6 linked regions of the Sus scrofa genome follow. The protein of the gene in region 6 interacts with the protein of the main gene of each other region in a pairwise test. Links are inferred from orthologs where the notes say so. Each region holds a gene or a part of one and is shown on either strand. Other genes may lie near its edges. The genes, in order: NEFL, EID1, FAM131C, LAX1, E2F1 and NDN.

Region 1 (4,075 bases), on a different chromosome or scaffold from region 6:
GCTCTTGTAAACCGGAGGGCCGTATCAATGTGCACGCCGCGCACACTATTTCAAGTACCTGGATGTTTCCTAAAAGAAATCCATGGATTTCGGACTGTATCTGTTCTGTATTATCAGAGTGAAACGGGTGTAAGAACCACACGGCTGTTTGCTGTCTGTCCCAGAACGAGAGGTCTCCGGGGCTGAGTTCTGCTCCCGGGAGGTGCGCTCCGCGCTCGGGGCGGTAGCAGCAGCTTCCCTCTGAAAAGCAGCCACCTGCATGGCTTGTTGAAATCATCAGGTTGGGTGCTCCACGGGTGTAAAAAGTGGGAAAGGGGGTTTTAATGCGATGGAGTTGGCGGTGTGGAGTAGGAATTTAGGAGTGAAAAAGAAACAGGCAGCGTGTGACAATCTTAAGTTCCCCTCTGCAGAGCTTGCCGCTGCCTCTGCAAGTGGGTTTCTCTTCGGCTTAGTTTCAAACCCATTCTCTCCTCCACCAACACGCTTCAACATGCTCGAAGTATTCGAGGCTTCATTTCCCAGAAATAAATGAGAAAAATCTAGGAACACTAGATAGATATGAACACTAGGTTGATATGAAATGTTCTAATAGTTTAGACATGCTAAAACCAACAGCTGCAGTGCCGCAGTTTCCCGTGTGTGTGTGTGTGTGTGTGTGTGTGTGTGTGTAGAAGCACACAAAAGAAAAAAAAAATAACCAGGAGAAAGGGATAAAGGGACATGAAGAAAGTGCCAGAAACAGCGACAAAGAATTATAAAACTTTCCTCCATGTATTCCGCATTCATACAGTCTTGGAAAATCATTTGTCTTTCCAATACCCCAAGGCATGGCACTGCCACCATTAACACTGGGGAGGGGGGGAAGGGGGATGATGACCCTTGGTGGGGAAGGGGCGAGTTGGGGGAGGAGAGGAGGGTGCCTCTGAGGTGTAGGGATATGGAAATCTAAGGTGTCAGTAGGGAGTGGGAACCTGTTATTGGGGACACATTCGAATCCGATCAAAGCATAAGTAGGATGGGGTGGGAATAGGAAAAGGAAATGAGTTAGGGGTTACAGCGTCTCACAGAAAACCGAGGGCCTCAGTGAAAAGTGCAAAGAACGAGAGCCGCAGCATCCCCGTGGCCTGTGGCTCGCCCCCGCCTTCCTTTTGCGCAGAATCCTCCCCTTGGCTGCAGCATAGCGCTGCCCCCACCGGCCAGGCGCGCCGTGATCGATCGCAGGCTGCGTCAGAATCCTCCCCGAGTATAAATAGGGGTGGCAGGACCGCGCCGAGCCGCACACAGCCATCCATCCTCCCCTCTCCCTCTCTCCCCTGTTCTCTCTAGGCCCCCATCTCCCCTGCCGGGCAGAGGGGCACCGACCGCCACCATGAGTTCCTTCAGCTACGAGCCGTACTACTCGACCTCCTACAAACGCCGCTATGTGGAGACGCCCCGGGTGCACATCTCCAGCGTGCGCAGCGGCTACAGCACCGCGCGCTCTGCTTACTCCAGCTACTCCGCGCCCGTCTCCTCCTCGCTGTCCGTGCGCCGCAGCTACTCCTCCAGCTCCGGCTCCTTGATGCCCAGTCTCGAGAACCTCGACCTGAGCCAGGTAGCCGCCATCAGCAACGACCTCAAGTCGATCCGCACACAGGAGAAGGCGCAGCTGCAGGACCTCAACGACCGCTTTGCCAGCTTCATCGAGCGCGTGCACGAGTTGGAGCAGCAGAACAAGGTCCTGGAAGCCGAGCTGCTGGTGCTGCGCCAGAAGCACTCCGAGCCGTCCCGCTTCCGGGCGCTGTACGAGCAGGAGATCCGTGACCTGCGCCTGGCGGCGGAAGACGCCACCAACGAGAAGCAGGCGCTCCAGGGCGAGCGCGAGGGGCTGGAGGAGACTCTGCGCAACCTGCAAGCGCGCTACGAAGAGGAGGTGCTGAGCCGCGAGGACGCCGAGGGCCGGCTGATGGAAGCGCGCAAAGGGGCCGACGAGGCGGCTCTCGCCCGCGCCGAGCTCGAAAAGCGCATTGACAGTCTGATGGACGAAATCGCCTTTCTGAAGAAAGTGCACGAAGAGGAGATCGCCGAGCTGCAGGCTCAGATCCAGTACGCGCAGATCTCCGTGGAGATGGATGTGTCCTCCAAGCCCGACCTCTCCGCCGCGCTCAAGGACATCCGCGCCCAGTATGAGAAGCTGGCCGCCAAGAACATGCAGAACGCCGAAGAGTGGTTCAAGAGCCGCTTCACGGTGCTGACCGAGAGCGCCGCCAAGAACACCGATGCGGTGCGCGCAGCCAAGGACGAGGTGTCCGAGAGCCGCCGACTGCTCAAGGCCAAGACCCTGGAGATCGAAGCCTGCCGGGGCATGAACGAAGCGCTGGAGAAGCAGCTGCAGGAGCTGGAGGACAAGCAGAACGCCGACATTAGTGCTATGCAGGTCAGGCACAGGGCAAAGCACAGTGGGGGCGGGAGGGGGCTGCAGAGTCGAGTTAGAATTGGGGTTGGGGGGAGAGTTTAAGGCGAGCCTAGAAAGTGGAGATCAGAGATGAGGCATCTGCATTCAGCTCTTAGGGGGTAGAACTTGGCTCCTGGGAGGCTGTGGGAGGGGGTGGGGGCGCAACTGCAGTCCGCAAAGCTGTGCTTGGTGCAGCCGAATTTCTGTTCTGCATAAACCTGCCCAGGCCTGCAGGGGGTTGGGTGGGGTGGGGAAAGGTTGGAAGCTGGGCGTTGCCTCTGGCCTGCTTCTGCTGTTCTGCGTTCACAAGTGGCTTTACTGCACAGATTGAACCATCTGATTAATAAATACAGCAAAGAGCTCTCATTAGTTCTGAAGGGTAACTGTGACCAGCAGCTTTCTTAGTTTTACCAACCACTTCCTTCCCTTAGCAGGTAGACAGGAATACAGTCAAAATTGTAGCAGGTAATCATGGTCACAGTAAAACATTTATTTTTTAAGGACCTCCAGCTTCAGGGGAGGAGAAAAAATAATATAGAGACATAAAAAATATTTTGGATAAATTTTTAAAATCTCCAATTTAGATACTTTATTCTATGAACAGGTGGATTGCTTATATGTAATCTGGTTAAAGTTAACCAGTCAATGAGAAACAAAGATTTTTAAAAATCAGTTTAGTTCCTTGCAGGCATTTTATGATGATGGTCAGGCTGTATTATTAACAAACCAGAAATTTTTCTTCTATCAGTTTTTTTAAGCTCTCTCTCTCTCTCTTTTTTTTTTTTTTTGGTTTTCAAGATTTACGAAGCTGGATTTTTAGGCAAGAAAAGAAAGGTTTAAAAAGAGAAAAAGTAGTTATTTTAAGGGAGATTTTTATCTAAGTGTGCACCTTATTTTAATTAAACCTAGGCCTTTGCAGCTATGTTATAGTAAAATGAGAGCAGTAGGAATTTATACTTGGATTTCTTTTTTTCTTTGGTCTTCCAACAGGACACAATTAACAAATTAGAAAACGAACTGAGAACCACAAAGAGTGAAATGGCAAGATACCTGAAGGAATACCAAGACCTTCTCAATGTGAAGATGGCTTTGGACATTGAGATTGCAGCTTACAGGTAAAAATGGAGGGATGAAGGTAGCAGCCCTTCAGCCTTAGGAAGGAAATCAGACTTCTTTTACGGTGAATCAGAAACCTTCAAGAATAGTCTTGAAATAATTGGCTTTAAAATAAAAGGCCCTTTTTGGCCTTTTCCAAGAAGAATTTAATCCTGTAATAATAAGACCTGTTCTTAGCTTCCCATTACATTTCAAGTCTAATAGGCAGGGCTATTTTTAGGCCTTTTTTTTTTTTTTTTCTGGTCTCAATCATAACATCCCCAGTTGTTACGTTTTGATAGTCTTCAACCCTGCTCCTGCCTGCCTTTGCCTTTAAGGGTGGCATTGGTGAGAGGGATGAGTGATGGGCTCAGCACACTTCTGGTTTCATGTTTGTTTGTCCCATCTTCCCTCTGCCTCTGCAGGAAACTCTTGGAAGGTGAGGAGACCCGGCTGAGTTTCACCAGCGTGGGAAGCTTAACCACTGGCTACTCTCAGAGCTCCCAGGTCTTTGGCCGATCTGCCTATGGCGGTTTACAGACCAGC
Region 2 (3,881 bases), about 20 Mb from region 6:
AAAAAATGATAAAAAATGAGCTTATTTACAAAACAGAAACAAACTCACAGACTTCGAAAACAGTTATAGTTACCAAAGGGGAAAGATGGGGGGAGGGATGGATTGGTGGTTTGGGATTGGCATATGGACACAATTGTATATGAAATGGATGGTCACTGGAGACCTGCTGTATAGCACAGGGAACTCTACTCAATATTCTGTGATAACCTATATGGGAAAAGAATCTGAAAAAGAAAGGATATGTTTATATGTACAATTGAACCACTGTGCTATACAGCAGAAATTAACACAACATTATATATCAACTATGCTTCAATAAAACATTTTTTAAAAGACCCTTGAAACAAGAAACAAGAGGCAGGGAGAAAATGTTTGCAACATGTGAAACAAAGTATTCATACACTCAGTTTATAAGAAATTCCTACATCAATAAGAAAAATAAACAAACCTAAAATAAGACCATTTAATTTTCAGAAGTAATACATAGGTTCACTAAACATATTGAAAGATAATTTCCAAGTAATAAGACTATGAAAAATAAAATAATACACCTTTAAGTGATAAAATTGTTAACAATCAACAAAATAATGTGTGGCAAGGGTGTGGATATTCTCAAATATGGCTGGCTAGAGCCTAAATTTGCACAGCAACTTTGAAGAGCAATTTGACATTTATTAAAACTAAAGGATGAATACCCTACAATTTCACCTTTGCACTTCTAGGTTTTCATTTGAGAGAAATATTGTCATTTGGGGATGTTCATTTACCCATAGTTTTTTCTTTTTTTTTTTTTACCCATAATTTTAAATATCAAAAATTATAAAATTATTTGTGCATTGTTAGGTCATTTGCAACATTGCTATACAAGTAGCATACTAGGAAAAACACATGTCTGTGGACACTAACACTGCTAAATCTTCAAGACATTGCTGAGGGCTTTTTCGTTTCCTTGTTTTGAAAGTTGAAGACAATTATGTTAAGATATGTAAAAAGAAAAAAAAAAAAAAAAGACTTTTCCAGAAGACAATAGAGAGATCCACGTAAATGCAAAGAAAGGGGGGGAGGGAATTTAAAGAATATACACCGAATTGCTAACAGTGTAAGGTTATGTCTCCTGCAAAAAGAAACAGGAGCAAGTATTTCTTCTATTTATTTTTTCTTTGTAGAACACCTTTAATATGCTTATTTGTTCATTTAACTTTTTTTTAATATTAGAGATGGATGGATCAATTCTTAATATATTGCTCTGTGGTTCAGAACATCTTTTGCTTTGGAGGTGCAGATTTAGCAGTCATTTGCGCCTAGAAAAAAGTAGTTAAAACCTAGGAGAAGATGTGATTGCCTGGGGATGGGGGAAGGAGGAGGAGCGAAAAGCGGAGGGAGGAAGGAGGAAGGCGATGGAGGAGGAGGGTTAAGGGGTGTTACAGAAGATGTGTAAAGTGTTTTCAAGATTACAGCATCAGAAGCAGAATGACTAAGTAAGGCAGGGGCTAAGCAATGCTCTCGTTTGTAAGTGTATTTAGTCTGAAAGGACCAAGGTCCCGTAAGTCCCCAGGAGCGAACAGCTAGCGGTTGCCGACTGAGCAGCGCGCCAAGCAGGAGGCGATTTCTGGGGGTCGCGCACACGCTCAAGGTCACGCAAGCCCACGGCGTGTGCGCAAGCGCACAACCGCGCGGCCGCGTAGCCCAGATCTTGCAGAAAACGCTTGGCGAGAGGTCTAGCCGATTGCACAATGTCGGAAATGCACGAGCTGTCCGAGCTTTATGAGGAGAGCAATGACCTGCAGATGGATGTGATGCCCGGCGAGAGCGACCTTCCGCAAATGGAGGTAGGCAGCGGGAGCCGGGGGCCGTCCCCGAACCCCTCCCGCTCCGGGGCCCCGCCACAGCTGGAGGAGGAAGGCCCAATGGAGGAGGAGGTGGCCCAGCCAATGGCGGAGCCGCAGGGGCAGCGAGGCCTCGCTAACCGGCCCAACCCTGGGGAGCGCCCGGGCCAGATCGCGGGCCCTGATTTCGAGAGCGAGGACGAGGGCGAGGAATTTGATGACTGGGAGGACGACTACGACTATCCGGAAGAGGAGCAGCTGAGTGGTGCGGGCTACAGAGTCTCAGCGGCCCTGGAAGAAGCCAACAAGATGTTTCTGAGGACCTCCAGAGCGAGAGAAGCAGCTCTGGGGGGCGGATTTCAGATGCATTATGAGAAGACCCCGTTCGATCAGTTGGCTTTTATCGAGGAGCTTTTTTCACTTATGGTTGTCAATCGTCTGACCGAAGAACTCGGCTGTGATGAGATTATTGATAGAGAGTAGTATGCTGTGAAGAGAGGAGGAAACTACTTGAGGAGAGACCCAACAACATTCCAGTCTCTTGGGTTCATTCCGAATAGTTCCGTGCCAATGAAACACTTGATCCAAAAGAAAAAATGGGGGGGGGGGCAGTGTAGACTAGGAAAGTGACTTCACAGTTATGGGAAAGGAAGAAAATTGTTAAAGGAAAAGGATCTCAGTACTGTTGAAACCTGTTTTCAAGAATGTCGTGAAACACTTGTGGCTTTGACTCTGTTACTGATCTAGATTAATTTCCTTGCATTTGGGAAAGTATCTTTCACATTTCCGGATGGCTTTGCAAGAAAAACCAAGACACATGGCCGGTACAAGAGCCCACTGATGTTAATCATATGAGAAAAAGTAACTAATTTATCCAACTTTGGACACCACATGTCTGAGTTATTTGGACTGAAAGCATACTGAAGATGTCATTTTGTGATTCATCTAAGCCAAGCTGTAGTTATTATCCAAAGGCTAAATTTTTAGCGAAAGGTAAATTGAGTATTCTTCAGTATTGCAAAAGAATAATCGAGCCTCCAAAGAAATGTGTATCATGTGTGCTATATCTTAAAGCGTGTTTCCAAGAGCATCTGAGATATTGTTTGTACATATATCTTGATCATTTATAACACTACTGTAATCTTGAATTCAAGAAAATTTACCGTCTTGACCATTTTTAAAAGTCAAAAATTAAGACGTCCTTAATAAAGTTTCAAACTAAGAATGTCAAAGTACAAAGAAAACTAACATCTTTATATACTAGAGAAATTTTCTGTTTTACTTGCTCTTTGTTTTTCATGTAACTTTACAGGCAAAAGACTTTGGTTGAACTTCATAATATAAGAACTGTTAACTGAAAACTGTCAAGTAAAAGGAGAGCCCTACATCTACAAAAGACTTTATGAACAATTATGCTGTCAGCCCTTAAGGGTTTTAAACCTGCCCAGAAATTCACCTCAGTATCTGAAGTTTTTCCTCTGTCTCCTCCTCTAATTAAGCTTGTTATTGGTTATGCACCAGCATTCCAGATAATAAAAATTTCTTGTTCTGTGTATTTTGTCTAATGGTATTGCATACATACTTTCTCTAATTCTACTTTTATTGTATTATATACTACTTTAATGTATGGGCGCAACCACTTTATGATTTAAATTTAACCACTAAAAAAAAAACAAAAAGGGAAAGTTCTCTAGCTTCACATACCTGATTTACAAATTAATTGGTGGAAATTAAACTTAGTAAATTCCCATAAGAGAATTGACCAACCTGGGACAACCTACCAAATCAATAAGCATATTGCTGAAGTTCTATGTGAATAGCAGTCAGAAGGCTGTGCCCAGTGAAAAAGTACCAGATGTTTTTGCTCCATTATGGCAGTAAAGGACACAGCCAATACAACACGACCACTCAGAGCCTACTTATGTTACAGTTATCCTGTCTTTCAGGGAAGGGGATTCTTCTCTGTAAATTACAGAACTAGCAAGTAAGGATGATCATAATTCAAACACTAGCATGGGAGCAGAGGTGGGGAAAGAGGTTAAACTGTGGCACTCA
Region 3 (3,972 bases), on a different chromosome or scaffold from region 6:
CCATATTCACAATAGTTCCCCGACCCCCATGGCCAGGGTCATTCTCCACCAGGCTTTTACTCCAGAGAGGGCACCGGGCCTGGGCAAGGAGATAACGTCAGCATCCACGCCACTGCTCCCCACCCCCACCCCTTGGCAGTCCCACCGGGCCCAGATCCAGCCCGGCTAGAGGCCTCCAGCTCCACCCCACCCCCTTGTCTCAAACCTCATTCATCCTTCAAACCCCGCTGGTCCATCCCCAAGTTTTTAAAGAGAACCAGTGAACCTGGCTTCCTCACTTGGAAAAGGGGCACAAGGACACCTGCTCTAACCGATGCCCAAGAACGTGTACGGATGGAGTGAGTCGGCAGGATGTAAAAGTGAGCGCTGAGAAGCTGAGGATCTGTGGGCCATGGGCAGGTTTGCTAAGGAGCTGGGGGTGTGTCTGAGTGTGTGGCTGTGTGTAAATGCCAGTGTGTGTAAATATGGGTGTGTGTGTGTGGGTGTACCCATGTGTGTTTGTGTTCGTGGGTAGGGATGTGAGAGAGCCAGTGTGAGTGATTAGAGGGGCCACTGCGGGCCCCATCGGAAGGGAGCTGCGGGTCTGAGAAAGGACTTGGCCATTCTGCACGGGCTCAGCCCAAAGGGCCTTCTCACCTCGCTGCCGGCGCTTGCAGGAGACCCGGTGGAGGGATCCGAACGCTCATCCCCACCCTCTGTATCCCCAGCCTGGGCCAGTGTTCCCCCCCCCGCCACCGATGATGTCCCTGACACCTAAGGGCCCTCAGGCAAGGCATCTGATCTCCGTGAGCCTGTGTCTTCCCCTGCCACTTGGGCACAAGAGACATCTGAATGTCGTGTACTTCTTCGTGGCCCAAATGCTGAAATTTCCCTGCCCCCACCGCCCTCTTCCCTGACCTTCAGCCCCTGTCACCAGGTGGCTCGGGAGGCCCGAGGGCCTATGGTCCCCCTCCAGCTCCCCTGCCCCCTGCCCCGGGGCTGCCCCCGCCCCTAGCCTGGCGGCGGCGGCAACAGGTGCGCTGCGGGCGGGGCGCTGGGGGCGGGGCGGCCTCGCGGGCTCCGCGCTCGGGGCTCCGGGCGAGCGCTCCCCGGGGCCGCCCCGCCCGCCGTGCTGCCCGCGGCTGGCAGGGGCGGGCGCGGCGCGGGCGGCGGTGGCGCTCGGCGAGCCGGGCACGGCGGCGGCGGCGGCAGCGGCGGGGACGACCCGGCGGGAACGGCGGCCGAGCGGAGCGGAGCCCCGGGCCCTTCCCTGCGAATCCGCGCTTCCGCTGCGCCAGCGCCGCGCGTGAGCCCCGGGCCCGCGCAGACATGAGCGCCCGGCGGCCGGACGCACTCAAGGCTCAGCGGCCCGACCCCGAGGCCCCGTGATGGGCTCCTGCGTGTCGCGAGGTGAGGGGGCCACAGATCTTGGCGAGGAGAAGCAGGAATCGGGGGCCCGGGTCCCCGCGCCGGGGACGCAGGCACGACCCCTCGGCCTCTCGGGAGAACCTGGGTGGGGGTGGGGGTAGGGGGACGACCCGCCCTTCGCGGCCAGCCGCACACCCCGCCCCCCCGCCCCCCGCCGAGTCCCAGGGGACAAGGTGCCCCGAGGGGGTCAGGGCGTGGGAGGGGGCAGCAGCGCGGAGAGAGCGAGCGTGGGGAGGTCACCGCAGCCCCGCTTGGAACCACACCCCACCAGGTGGCAGAAGCAGGGTCGCTACCTTTCCAGCAGCCACACGCCCCCTGCCGTGTGCCTCGGAGGGACGGCAGGCTTCTGATTTCTCCTGGCTTCTCTGGAGGGACTGCGGGACGGCGGGAGAGCAAGCCGACCCTCCTTCCCACGCCCTCCAAGACATAGACCTTAGTAGCTCAGTGCCCCCACTTCTGTGCTCCTTACCCCACGCCCCTGACTTCAGAGTCCCAGACCCCACTGGCCACAAGGGGTTAAAGGAGATGAACAGGTTATAAGGAAGGTTCCCCTTCCCCCACCTTCATCCCTAACTCCTCATCCCCACCCCCATCCTTGGTCAGGGGACAGGAAGGGACAGAGACAGCTGATGTTCCCAGTCACCCCTGGGCCTTTCTGTCTGTCTTTAAAAGCCACTCTGACCTGGCAAGCTCCTGCTCTCTTCCAGTGCCTCAACCCTGAGGCTCCCCCCAAGGCCGTGTCTGGGGAGCTGGAGTGAGCTGCCCTGGCACCATAGTGAGTGGGAGAGGGTGGGAGTGGCAGGGACTTCTACACAAAGCTGGGGGGGTTGGGCAGCTTGGCCTTTGGAACCCTCCCCACCACCAGCTTTCCAACAGGCTGCTGAGTGGCATTTTAGAAGAGGTTGGCTGGGCCATTCTCCCACCCTGGTGAGCCTTTTGGGGTGCGGTGAGGGGGTGACTGAGGCCTTGGCTTCAGCGCTGCAGCCTGAAGCCAAACCCACTGACCCCAATCACGGCCTGGGGGGCGCTGCCACCTTACCTGTCACCCCCAGCAGCTTACCCAGATGTGGAGGGATGACCAGGCCTTGAGGAGGGGCTGGCAGGCCCTGGAGGAGACCTATCCCGGGGGGTGTTGGGGAAGGAGCACACCCCCTCCCCCCACCCTCTGCCCTCTCCGGGGCTCTGCCCACCAGTCCCCGTGGGACATTCAGATAGGTGGCTCAGGATGTCTCAGGAGGGTGTCATGGTGGGGATTAGGCTGTTCTGAGGTTCAGCCACTTATTCATTCATGAAGCTTGATGTTAGTGTGACACCTGCTGTGTGCCAGGCACCATGTACATGCCGGGCCCCCAGAGCGATGAGCCCAGCACAGCGCCTGCTCTGAAGGTACAGAATGACCATAAGGGAAGGGAATTTTAAGAGTGAGGGGGAGTTCCCATTGCGGTGCAGTGGAAATGAATCCGACTAGTAACCACTGGTCTCGCTCAGTGGGTTAGGATTATGGATCTGCTGTTGCCATGAGCTGTGGTGCAGGTCACAGGTGCGGCTTGGATCCTGCATTGCTGTGGCTGAGGTGTAGGCCAGCAGCTGTAGCTCGATTAGACCTCTAGCCTGGGAACCTCCATATGCCGCAGGTGTGGCTCTAAAAAGCAAACAAAAAAAAAGAGAGAGAGAGGAATGTTAAGAATTCTTTAGAACCAACAGGCTTTCCGCGTGTCTCTAGAAACCTCGAAGCTCTGAGCAGGCGCCAGGTGTTGGGGAGCTGGTATTTCCCTGTTGTCTGTCTCCCCCATCACTCAGCCATCCCGTGCCAGGTGCTGGAGGCCCAGCCCCAGGTGGGCCCCAGATGGACTTGGCTGTGAGCGTCAGACCCGAGGAGGAAGAGATGCTTGTTGAAGGTCAGGCTGCCAGGCTGTGTCAGGGCTGGGGACCAGGTCCTCTGACCACCTCATCCCCTGGACCTGGTGCTGGAACCCTCTGCCATGCCTGTCTGAGGTTACCCTGACCTAAGAGAGGTCCTCTCCACCCTTCCCTCTGTGGCTGGGGCTCCTGAGGGCCACCTCTAGATCTAGCTGTGTTTTCAGACCCTGTCCCCCTCCTGAGGGAGTAGGCCCGCTTCTAGCCTCCTCATGCATGCAGGCAAGCTGGATGCAGGTAAAGAAGCTGTGAGCCACGTGAGCCGAGGACAACCATTGTCCCAGCGCTCAGGGTTCTGCGTGGCCTGACCACTAAGCGGAGGCCACCCACCCCTCTAATTGTCACTGATACCCATAGAGTGCTTACGGCTTCCCAGGGCCCCAGTGGGAACATTCTAGGCACAACTAGCTAATTTAGGGTATGTACCGTCCCCGCCCCCATTTTACCAATGGAGAAACTGAGCGGGGCCCAGGGCCCCATAGGTAAGAAAGAGCAGAGGCAGGACTTGAATCCAGTCACACTGACTCCAGAGCCTGGGCCCTTGGCCTCTGTACCACGCAGCCGGCCCTCAGACCCAGGGCAGCTTCCATGAGCCCCGAGCGTCCACATCTGCCCCAATTGCTAATAACAGCCCCTTTGCTCCAAGCA
Region 4 (4,193 bases), on a different chromosome or scaffold from region 6:
GTAAACCAGATTGAGCTCCTCCTCTGTTTGCAAACTTCCATGATTGCCTGTCACACTTGGGATGGCATCCATGGTCCCTACCCAAGGAGGACATCATGGCATCTTCTGTTCTGGCCTCTGGCTGCCTTTGGCCTTGTTTCCTATCACTTTCCCTCTGATCCCGAAGGTCAGGCCTCCGTGCTCTTCCTGGCAGAGCACGGTCCTCTCTCAGACCTGCCACTCCCTCTCCCATGGCTCAGTCCCTCATTTCATTCAGGTCTCTTCTGAAATGCCATCTCCTCAGACTGATCCTCCCTGGCCACACCCTACTACTCTCAGTCCCTTGTGTCTGCTTTGGTTTTTCTTCATAGCACTTATGGCTGGCTGACATTATGTGATCCGTGCATGGGTTCCTTTGTTCCTATCTGACTCTTCCACTTGACTGTAAGCTCTAGGAGGTCATGGACTTGTCTGTCCTATTCATCTGGTGCCTGGAGCAGTGCCAGTAGGGGCCTGATGAGTATTTGTTAACTGAATGAAGGAATGAATTAGCAAAAAAATTAATGAATAACAAAATACAGCTGGGGGGGGCGCTGCAGGGTTCTGACACTTTATGAATTCATTCCCCATCAGTGCCCCTGTCCACCTGCCAGTGACGGGTATTTGTTTGTCATGGGTCATAACATTACCTCCCCAAACGACAGTGATTTAAAATCACATTATTACATATTATTGCTGTATTCTCATCATAGCACAGAAATTGTACTCTTATCATAGTGCAGAAATGTATACCTCCCAGTGTGAAAGTTTCAGCAGCTGATGGACTTTTTATTTTTGCTAATACGGTGTGGAAGCCTTTGGCAATAAAAATTTATATCTACAATGAGTTCTGTGAGATTCTAGGTCCTAAAGACCTATCTTTAGCATACCTATGATTACATGTTTATTCATGGCAAGTTTTTCTTTATTTAAAAATCTTGTTATAGTTGATTTACAATGTTCTGTCAATGTCTGCTGTCCAGCAAAGTGACCCAGTCATATGTATAAAAACATTTTTTTTTTTCTCATATTACCCTCTGTCACCTTCTACTACACGTGATCGGATATAGTTCCCTGTGCTGTACAGCAGGATCTCATTGCGTATCCACTCCAAATGCAATACTTTGTATCTACTCACCCCAAGCTGGCAGTCCACCCCACTCCCTCCTCCTCCCTCTTGGCAACCCCAAGCCTGTTCTCTGTGTCCATGAGTTTGTTTTTTTTTCTGTAGATAGCTTCATCTGTCACAGCAAGATGTTAGAACCGAGAGACACATCTGTGGAAAAAGTGGGCCTTTTGTGTCCATCGTGGTGGGAACTAGTTTTTGTTTTTGTTTCTCTGAGGAGTGATGGGTGGGACCTGGGGCAGGAAGACAGAGGACAGCCATCGGGCCTCTGAGCATGAGAAATTCAACCAGGGCTGCCAGCTCTAAGGAAGCGCCGCCTTATCGCAGTTCCTCTCCCCCAACAACGCCTTTTTCTCCTCAATGCCCATTCCTTTCCTCCCCGCGGTTTTGAGCAAACTCCGCTGAGCCTAGAATTAAGTGGTCTCTGGGGACCCGAGCCTGGTTGTGAGGCTGGCCACGCTGCTGGGGTAAAGCAGGGCATTCTGTCTACATCAGCGGAGGGGAGCACTCACCACCGTGGCCACTCACCTGTCCAGGGTGCTGAGGGTTCCCTGTAGAGTGCTGGGCTGTGAGGTCCTCCCTCTGACCTCTGAGATGGCCGGCGTGGTCATGCCCATTATCCCCGGACCCTCTCTGGCTTCAGCTTCTCCTTCCAAGCCTTCTCTCAACCATCATTAGCTCGCCAGCCTGTCTGCCCGTTTCCTGGCTCTTCCTTAATTGCTGACTCCCAGGACAAAAGGCAGAATTGGTTTGTGTTTTCCATACATACCTGTGTGGTATAACCACTTATTTTTAGTAGATAAGCATGGCAGGAGTTTCCATTGCGGCTCAGTGGAAACAAACCCAACTAGTATCCATGAGGATGTGGGTTAGATCCCTGGCCTCGCTCAGTGCGTTTGAGGATCCGGTGTTGACGTGAGCTGTGGTGTAATTTGCAGATGCGGCTCAGATGCTGTGTTGCTGTGGCTGTGGTGCAGGCTGGCAGCTACACCTCCGATTTGACCCCTAGCCTGGGAGGCTCATATGCTGGGGTTGCGGCCCTAAAAAGACACAACAAAATAAAACAAAACAAACCCCACTCCCTAATGTACAACTTTTTACTCTCAAAATTTCTTCTTAAAATTTTCTTCATCAAAGTCCCTCACAAGAAAAAGTCTACTAGTTTTTATTTCTTCCTTTCTAAAGCTTCCAATCTAGAACTTTCTCTCCCCCAACAAACTCCTTACCATGAGTCTGTTCCTGAAATGTCAGGCTGAGCTGACCCAAAATACAAAACAGGTTTGGTTCTACCTGGATGTGTCTTCGATGCCAGAGGGGAGAGCTCATCCGGGTGTGGACTCCCCAGCACAGCTGCTCAGGGAGAAGCCGGGTTCCCTGCCTCGTCAGAGCATGAGGGGTGCCGCGGGGGAAAGAGAAGCTGGAGAGAGGTTCCGTGAGAAGCTCATCTTCCCCCAACCCCCAAAGCAAAGAGAAGAGAACAAACAGTTTGCCAGAATGGAAACAGAGAGTCAGCTACAGGAAGCAACACCACCAACGTGCTAATGAAGCCTGGGGCCCAGGAAATGCTGCTCAGCTCTTAATAAGATAGAAGCAAACTTGCCTGCCCCATCTTCCCGGTGGCTGTGGTCTGTGGGGAGCATGATTCAAGATGGGGCAAGGTGGTGGGGTTTGCGATTTGTTCACCTGGGGTTGCTGAGAATTTATGCGCTTTATAAGCCTCCAGATTTGCATTGTGTGCTTTAAGCAGGTCTAAGGAGCACTGGGAGGTGTTTTTTAGAAACAAACGCAGATCCCTGGCACCTGCTGCTGATTCATGGGTAGAGGGTGCAGAGGGGGATGGGTGGTTTTCATAAACACACCGCAGGTGATTTTGACCGAGCTGGTCTGCTTCTTTTCCTTTCCTTTCCTTTCCTTTCCTTTCCTTTCCTTTCCTTCCCTTCCCTTCCCTTCCCTTTCTTTTCCTTTCCTTTTTCTTTCTTTCTCTCTCTCTCTCTCCTTCTTCCTTCCTTTCTTTGTCTTTTTAGGGGTGCACCCCTGGCATAGGGGTCTAATCAGAGCTACAGCTGCCGGCCTACGCTACAGCCATAGCAATGCATGATACAAGCTGCCTCTGTGACCTACACAGCTCAGAGCAATGCCGGATCCTTAACCCACTGAGCAGGGCCAGAGATTGAACCAGCATCCTCGTGGATATTAGTCGGGTTTGTTACTGCTGAGCCACAATGGAGCTCCTATGGGGGTAGCAGGGCCCTTGGGGGCCTCCCTCGTGCCCGTAGCTGCTGCCATCTTGCTCACAGAGCTCTTTCAGAGAAGATCCATCCCAGGATGGTGGTTGTGCACCTGTCTCAGAAGCTGGAAAATTCACCGCCCCCACGCTATGTCTACACAAAGTGCTCCAAACTTTGAAGATTGTTCAAAGCTTTTTTCTAGCTTCCTCCCCCTCTTCCTTTTACCAATTTCCTGACACTCTCTTTCATCTTGGGAGAGTCCAAGGAGAAGGGTGTGAAAAGACTATTTTGAGGGGGTGAGAAGAGCCTCTAGGAGTTTCCGCTGTGACACAGGGGGTTAAGTATCTGACTGCAGCAATGGCTTCAATCCCCAGTCCCGTAAAGTGGGTTAAGGGATCCAGGATTGCTGCGGTTGTGGCTTAGGTCACAGCTGAGGCTCAGATTCAAACCTTGGCCCAGCAACTTCCATATGCCATTGGCACGGCCATTAAAATAAGAAGAAGATGGAGTTCCATCGTGATGAAGCGGAAACAAATCTGACTAGAAACGATGAGGTTGTGAGTTTGATCCCTGGCCTCGCTCAGTGGGTTAAGGATCCGGTGTTGCTATGAGCTGTGGTGTAGGTACCAGACGTGGCTCAGATCTGGCATGGCTGTGGCTGTGGCTGGCAGCTATAGCTGCTATTAGACCCCTAGCCTGGGAACCTTCATATGCCGCAGATATGGCACTATGAAGAAAAAAAAAGAAAGAAAGAAAGGAAGGAAGGAAGGAAGGAAGGAAGATCCTCTGACTTCACTTTCCACAAGGAAGTGGATTCCCAG
Region 5 (3,500 bases), on a different chromosome or scaffold from region 6:
CATCGCTGAATCTGACCACCAAACGCTTCCTGGAATTGCTGAGCCGCTCGGCTGACGGTGTCGTCGACCTGAACTGGGCAGCTGAGGTGCTGAAGGTGCAGAAACGGCGCATCTACGACATCACCAACGTCCTCGAGGGCATCCAGCTCATCGCCAAGAAGTCCAAGAACCACATCCAGTGGCTGTAGGTACCAGTGCAACAGGAGGGTGGGCGCAGGCCCGTGGCCGGGCCAGCCCGGAGGAGCTGAGAGCAGTGCCCACTGTGGCTGCCTGCATCCCTGTCTTACTACCCGGGAAACCGAGGTTTAGAGAGGAGGGGTGGCTTCCCTGAGGTGAGAGATGCAGGGAAGAACACAGATCTCACAGCCAGCTCAGTGCCACTTTATGTATTTCTTCACCTGGGTCACCACCATCTGGGTCAGTATCCCAGAAAGTTTCCTTGTGCCCCTGCCCAGACACTGTCCACTCTGCATACCACCAGGTAACCACTGTTTTGGCTTCTGTTGCTATTGATGGGGTTGTTTGATGCAGCTGTTTCATTCTCTTTGTTTATTTTGCTTTTTAGGGCTGCACCCGTGGCATATGGAAGCTCACAGGCATGGGGTCGAATCGGAGCTACAGCAGCCGGTCTATACCGCAGCCACACAATGCGGGATCCCAGTAAAATAGGAATTAAGAGGGAGTTCCGACTAGTATCCATGGGGATGCAGGTTCGATCCCTGGCCTCGCTCAGTGAGTTAAGGATCTGGCCTTGCCATAAGCTGTGGTGTAGGTCACAGACGCAGTTCAGATCTGGCATTGTTGTGGCTGTGGTTTAGGCCAGTATCTGTAGCTCCAATTGGACCCCTAGCCTGGGAACTTCCATAATGCCACGGGTGTGGCTCTAAAAGCAAAAAAATAGAAATGCTTGCATGTCTGCATTTAATGCCTTCTTGTCCTTTTATACACCTGCATAGTGTTCCATGGCATGTCTGCCACCATTTACTTATCCAGCTTCCAGTGAGAGACATGTGCGTGTTCAGACATTCAGGCCCAATTTTGAACCCAGCCAGCCTGCCTTGGAGCTCAGCTTCAGCTCTCTTTTGTTCCCCAACTGAGGAGGCAGGCCCAGAGAGGGGCTAGGGCTCACCTGAGTCTCAGAACAGAAGCAGCAGCAGATGCTTACTGAGGGTCAGGGCTCCTGGGAAGAGGGGCAAGGAGCTTTTAACCACCCCCCTCCTTTGCCTCCTGGCAGAGGCAGCCATGCAGCAGTGGGGATTGGTGGCCGGCTTGAAGGATTGACCCAGGACCTGCAGCAACTGCAGGAAAGCGAGCGGCAGCTGGACCATCTGATCCAAATCTGTACCACACAGCTGCATCTGCTTTCCGAGGATGCTGACAGCCAGCGATATCCTTGAATGCCTGGAAGGTGGCCATGGCGCCATCCCAGTGGGCAGAGAGGGGCTACTCTGGGCCCTGGATGCAGGAGAGGGTTCTGGTTTTGGATACAAATTCTGGCTCAGCATTTACTCATTCTGTGACACTGGACAGGTTACTTAACGTTTCTTGAGTCTCAGCTTCATGTGTAAAAGGGGAAAATTACCTTATTCTGAAGTTAGATTAAAACAAGGAAAGTTAGGAGTTCCCGTCGTGGCGCAGTGGTTAACGAATCCGACTAGGAACCATGAGGTTGCGGGTTCAGTCCCTGCCCTTGCTCAGTGTGTTAACGATCCGGCGTTGCCGTGAGCTGTGGTGTAGGTCGCAGACACGGCTCGGATCCCGCGTTGCTGTGGCTCTGGCGTAGGCCGGTGGCTACAGCTCCGATTCAACCCCTAGCCTGGGAACCTTCATATGCCACGGGAGCGGCCCAAGAAATAGCAACAACAACAACAACAACAACAAAAAAAAAACAAGGAAAGTTAGAATCAGTAATAATAAATATGATTGAATACAGTGATTCATGGTTGTCACATCCAGGTTAGAGATGTAAGTTTTTATTTGTCCTCTGTTTAAAAAATAGAAACTTTTGGTGGCGCCTGTGGCGTGCAGGAATTCCCAAGGCAGGGATCCAACCCGACCCACAGCTATGACCTGAGCCACAGCAGTGACAGCATTGGATCCTTAACCTGCTCAGCCACCAGGGGTCTCTGAAGCTTTATTTATTTATTTATTTATTTTTGCAGCTTTGGTTCTCACTTAAGATCCAGTAAACTTATTTATGTATTTATTTATTTTGTTTGTTTGTTTGTTTTTTGTCTTTTTGCCATTTCTTGGGCCGCTCCTGCGGCATATGGGAGGTTCCCAGGCTAGGGGTCAAATCGGAGCTGTAACCACCAGCCTATGCCAGGGCCACAGCAACGCGGGATCTGAGCTGCGTCTGTGACCTACACCACAGCTCACGGCAACGCCGGATCGTTAACCCACTGAGCAAGGGCAGGGATGGAACTCGCAACCTCATGGTTCCTAGTCAGATTCGTTAACCACTGCGCCACGACAGGAACTCCCTGAAGCTTTATTTTAAAGTAAGCTTTTTTTGGGATTTCCCATCATCGCTCAGTGGTTAATGAATCCGACTAGGAACCATGAGGTTGCGGGTTCCATCCCTGGCCTTGCTCAGTGGGTTAAGGATCTGGCATTGCTGTGAGCTGTGGCGTAGGTCACAGACACGGCTCTGATCCCGCCTAGCTGTGGCTCTGGCGTAGGCCGGCGGCTACAGCTCCAATTAGACCCCAGCCTGGGAACCTCCATGTGCCGCAGGAGCGGCCCTAGAAAAGGCAAAAAGACAAAACAAAAAAATAAAATAAGCTTTTTAAAAAAGAAATATTCAAATTATACATTTTGGAGATAACCATTAATCACCAAGGTCATGGGTCAGAGTAAATTCTCAGAACCAAGCCTGGATTTAAGTAATCTCTATGCAATTATTGCAGGCAGCCCATCATTACCTTAAGATTCAAAGGGGAAAGTGGTCTCATAGTACAGATGTGGAAACTGAGACTCAAGGGCCTGTGATAGACTTGAGTACAAACTATGCACCAGGCCCTGAGGTGGGAGACAGCTAGGACCGGGGTGACCGGACAGGTATGAGTTCTGACTTCTGCGCTGTGCCCGTGGGTGGCCCCTAAAGGCCAAAGGTCATGTGATCCTTGACTCCACCAACCCTGGCCTACGTGACCTGCCAGGACCTTCGTAGCATCGCGGACCCTGCAGAGCAGATGGTCATGGTGATCAAGGCCCCCCCGGAGACCCAGCTCCAAGCCGTGGACTCCTCCGAGGTAAGAGCTGGGACTCTGGCCCCGACCAGGACAGGCTGGGCCGGGCTGGTGGTCAGCTGAGCCTCACTCTGCCCTGCCTGCTGCCTCCGCCCAGAACTTCCAGATCTCCCTTAAGAGCAAACAAGGCCCCATCGATGTTTTCCTGTGCCCTGAGGAGAGTACAGGCGGGATCAGCCCCGGGAAGACCCCATCCCAGGGGGTAGCTTCTGGGGAGGAGGGCAGGGCAGCCGACCCCACCACTGCAGT
Region 6 (2,718 bases):
GGGTGTGGCTGTCAATTTCTGGAACCAGTCAGTTTGTGTGAAAGCGCAGAGGTGGGGTCTACACGAACACACCCGTGAAGGCTACATCAGTCATAAGGGGAATTAGGGTCCTTCCTGGACAAACAAGTAGAAAGACATCATACTAGTCTGTGCTAATAAATACAGCAATCTTTGTGTGATGAGATCCTAATCAAAAAATTAAAATTACATCAAAATTACCCAAGGGAAGTAGAAAAACCAAAATCAATGACCATTCAAGCACCTAACAGTATCATTAGTACATTGTCTTCAAGAAAGTTTCAGTTGTACATGTATTGACTACATTCTGCATTTTTCCTTCATAACCCCCTGGACTTGGCAGTCAGGAAATCTTTTTTTTTTTTTTTTTTTTTTTTTTTTTTTCCCCATAGCAGGCTACGGGTAGAATTGGAGCTACGGCTGCCAGCTGACACTACAGCCACAGCAACACTGGATCCAAGCCCTGTCTGCAACCTACACCATAGTTCATGTCAACATCAGATCCTTAACCTACTGAGCAAGGGCAGGATTGAACCTGCATCCTCATGGATACTAGTCAGATTCCTTTCCGCTGTATCACAATGGGAACTCGCAGTGAATCAATCAATTTTTATTGCTATCTTTCATGATTCTGATATCCCGCATCTTTTTCAGAGTTGACACATTTTCTTGGGTGACCCTGATTGTTCTGTCAGTTTAAATTCTCACACTTGTTATCCAAAACCCAAGCTTATGTGCCAACCTGGGCCTTTCTCTGAAACTCACATCTAACTTGATTCTACATATACCCAATTGAACATTTCCTAAGAAATTCAGCTTCAGCATCTTGGAAGCTTAAGTTTCCATCTTTCCTCTTAAACTTGCTCCTTGTCCAGTGCTCACCCATGTCGCTCCTCCCCCCGGCCCCAGGACCGCCTCCTTAGCCCAAACTGGACGACTGTGGGTCATGAGGCCAGTATTCCACTAGGCCCCCTACCCCTTTGGGACCTCAATACACCCCAGCCCTCCAGGCGCCCCGCCCCTACCGCCAGCCGGCAGGGCCCCCACAGACCACGGATGCGCAGGCGCACTAGCCTGTCCCGCCGCCGCCCCGCCCCGCCCGGCCGCTGCGGAAGGCGCCGCGCGCAGCAACGCGCACTTCCTCTCCAGGAGTCCACCGAGGGAGCGCAGAGTCGAAGAGCTCCTGGACGCAGCGGCCGAGCCCTTGCCAGACGGAGCAAACATGTCCGAACAAAGTAAGGACGTGTGTGACCCCAACTTTGCAGCCGATGCCTCCCACTCCGAGGTGCACAGCAGCCCTGGGGTGGCCGGGGGGCCCTCTCCGCCTGCGTCCCAGGCCGCGACCCTCGCAGGGCCAGAGATCCCTCCTGTAGGCCCACCCGACGCCCCTCTGGCCTCGCCGCCGCCCCAGGCCCTGAGCGAAGAGGGAGACCCAAAGGCTCTACAGCAGGCCGCGGAGGAAGGCCGCGCCCACCAGGCCCGGAGCACAGCCCAGCCCAGCCCAGCGCCGCCGGCCCCGGCCCAGCTGGTGCAGAAGGCACATGAGCTCATGTGGTACGTGCTGGTCAAGGACCAGAAAAGGATGATCATCTGGTTCCCAGACATGGTGAAAGATGTCATCGGCAGTTACAAGAAGTGGTGCAGAAGCATCCTGAGGCGCACCAGCCTCATCCTCGCCCGAGTGTTCGGGCTGCACCTGAGGCTGACCAGCCTGCACACCATGGAGTTCTCGCTGGTCAAAGCTCTGGCGCCTGAGGAGCTGGACAGGGTTGCTCTGAGCAACCGCATGCCTATGACAGGCCTCCTGCTGATGATCCTGAGCCTCATCTACGTAAAGGGTCGCGGTGCCCGTGAGAGTGCTGTGTGGAACGTGCTGCGCATCCTGGGGCTGAGGCCCTGGAAGAAGCACTCCACCTTTGGAGATGTGAGAAAGCTTATCACTGAGGAGTTCGTACAGCAGAACTACCTGAAGTACCAGCGCGTCCCCCACGTCGAGCCCCCTGAGTATGAGTTCTTCTGGGGCTCCCGTGCCAGCCGTGAAATCACCAAGATGCAAATCATGGAGTTCCTGGCCAGGGTCTTTAAGAAAGACCCCCAGGCCTGGCCTTCCCGCTACAGGGAAGCTCTGGAAGAGGCCAGAGCCCTGCGGGAGGCCAACCCCACTGCCCACTGCCCCCGCAACAGTGTCTCCGAGGACTAGCAAGGTCTGGAGGCAGATTGATGGTTTCTGACCCTCACCAGGGTGGTGGAGGGGTGGGGGTGGGACATTAGAGTATTCAGGATTTACAGTGCAGTATTTCACGTGTAACTTTTACGTTTTCAGTACAGTGCTTTTATACCTTTTAATGCAATGTTGTATTCATTTCAGTAATAATTAGGTAGTGTGTAGGATTCATGCATGTTTGTTTATAAGTAAGCTCAGTTGGTGCTTTCGCTTTTGTGCTACCTTTCTTGAATTTTTTGTACCAGAGACGTGCTAAACTTATGAAATACATTGAGACATTTTCCATCTTATTCTTTTACATGGGACTGATGATGTGTATGGGGGTAGACAGGTACTAGAGAGTTTGGACGAACTCACCAGTAAAGCTGGTCTAACCAAGAGAAAAGTCAAGACCTCTCTCTCTGTGATCTTGCTGGGCACAGGAAACATCTGTCTGGAGTGTGGTGATGTGGACTTAAAGGGGCTCAGTATGGACA

Evidence for each region.
Region 1: the proteins of NDN (region 6) and NEFL interact in binary tests that used the Homo sapiens proteins (3 or more experiments, as listed by UniProt). The link is inferred for Sus scrofa from reciprocal best matches to the Homo sapiens genes NDN and NEFL.
Region 2: the proteins of NDN (region 6) and EID1 interact in binary tests that used the Homo sapiens proteins (3 or more experiments, as listed by UniProt). The link is inferred for Sus scrofa from reciprocal best matches to the Homo sapiens genes NDN and EID1.
Region 3: the proteins of NDN (region 6) and FAM131C interact in a two-hybrid assay, tested with the Homo sapiens proteins (2 studies listed by BioGRID and IntAct). The link is inferred for Sus scrofa from reciprocal best matches to the Homo sapiens genes NDN and FAM131C.
Region 4: the proteins of NDN (region 6) and LAX1 interact in a two-hybrid assay, tested with the Homo sapiens proteins (2 studies listed by BioGRID and IntAct). The link is inferred for Sus scrofa from reciprocal best matches to the Homo sapiens genes NDN and LAX1.
Region 5: the proteins of NDN (region 6) and E2F1 interact in a two-hybrid assay, tested with the Homo sapiens proteins (2 studies listed by BioGRID). The link is inferred for Sus scrofa from reciprocal best matches to the Homo sapiens genes NDN and E2F1.

What each region holds. Positions count from the first base shown.
Region 1 is NC_010456.5:8,994,101-8,998,175, reverse strand, and holds the start of NEFL (neurofilament light polypeptide), read left to right. Parts: upstream 1-1,275; 5' UTR 1,276-1,369; coding exon 1,370-2,416; intron 2,417-3,424; coding exon 3,425-3,549; intron 3,550-3,954; coding exon 3,955-4,075. UniProt on the Homo sapiens protein: Neurofilaments usually contain three intermediate filament proteins: NEFL, NEFM, and NEFH which are involved in the maintenance of neuronal caliber.
Region 2 is NC_010443.5:122,809,984-122,813,864, reverse strand, and holds EID1 (EP300-interacting inhibitor of differentiation 1), read left to right. Parts: upstream 1-1,383; 5' UTR 1,384-1,733; coding exon 1,734-2,309; 3' UTR 2,310-3,381; downstream 3,382-3,881. UniProt on the Homo sapiens protein: Interacts with RB1 and EP300 and acts as a repressor of MYOD1 transactivation. Inhibits EP300 and CBP histone acetyltransferase activity.
Region 3 is NC_010448.4:75,209,321-75,213,292, reverse strand, and holds the start of FAM131C (protein FAM131C), read left to right. Parts: upstream 1-1,172; 5' UTR 1,173-1,367; coding exon of another isoform or gene 1,368-1,389; intron 1,390-3,970; exon of another isoform or gene 3,971-3,972.
Region 4 is NC_010451.4:64,459,160-64,463,352, reverse strand, and holds the start of LAX1 (lymphocyte transmembrane adapter 1), read right to left. Parts: upstream 2,801-4,193; 5' UTR 2,371-2,800; intron 1,914-2,370; exon of another isoform or gene 1,865-1,913; 5' UTR 1,762-1,864; coding exon 1,673-1,761; intron 1-1,672. UniProt on the Homo sapiens protein: Negatively regulates TCR (T-cell antigen receptor)-mediated signaling in T-cells and BCR (B-cell antigen receptor)-mediated signaling in B-cells.
Region 5 is NC_010459.5:37,180,119-37,183,618, reverse strand, and holds part of E2F1 (transcription factor E2F1), read left to right. Parts: coding exon 1-184; intron 185-1,234; coding exon 1,235-1,387; intron 1,388-3,139; coding exon 3,140-3,254; intron 3,255-3,348; coding exon 3,349-3,500. UniProt on the Homo sapiens protein: Transcription activator that binds DNA cooperatively with DP proteins through the E2 recognition site, 5'-TTTC[CG]CGC-3' found in the promoter region of a number of genes whose products are involved in cell cycle regulation or in DNA replication.
Region 6 is NC_010443.5:142,411,448-142,414,165, forward strand, and holds NDN (necdin), read left to right. Parts: upstream 1-1,240; coding exon 1,241-2,218; downstream 2,219-2,718. UniProt on the Homo sapiens protein: Growth suppressor that facilitates the entry of the cell into cell cycle arrest.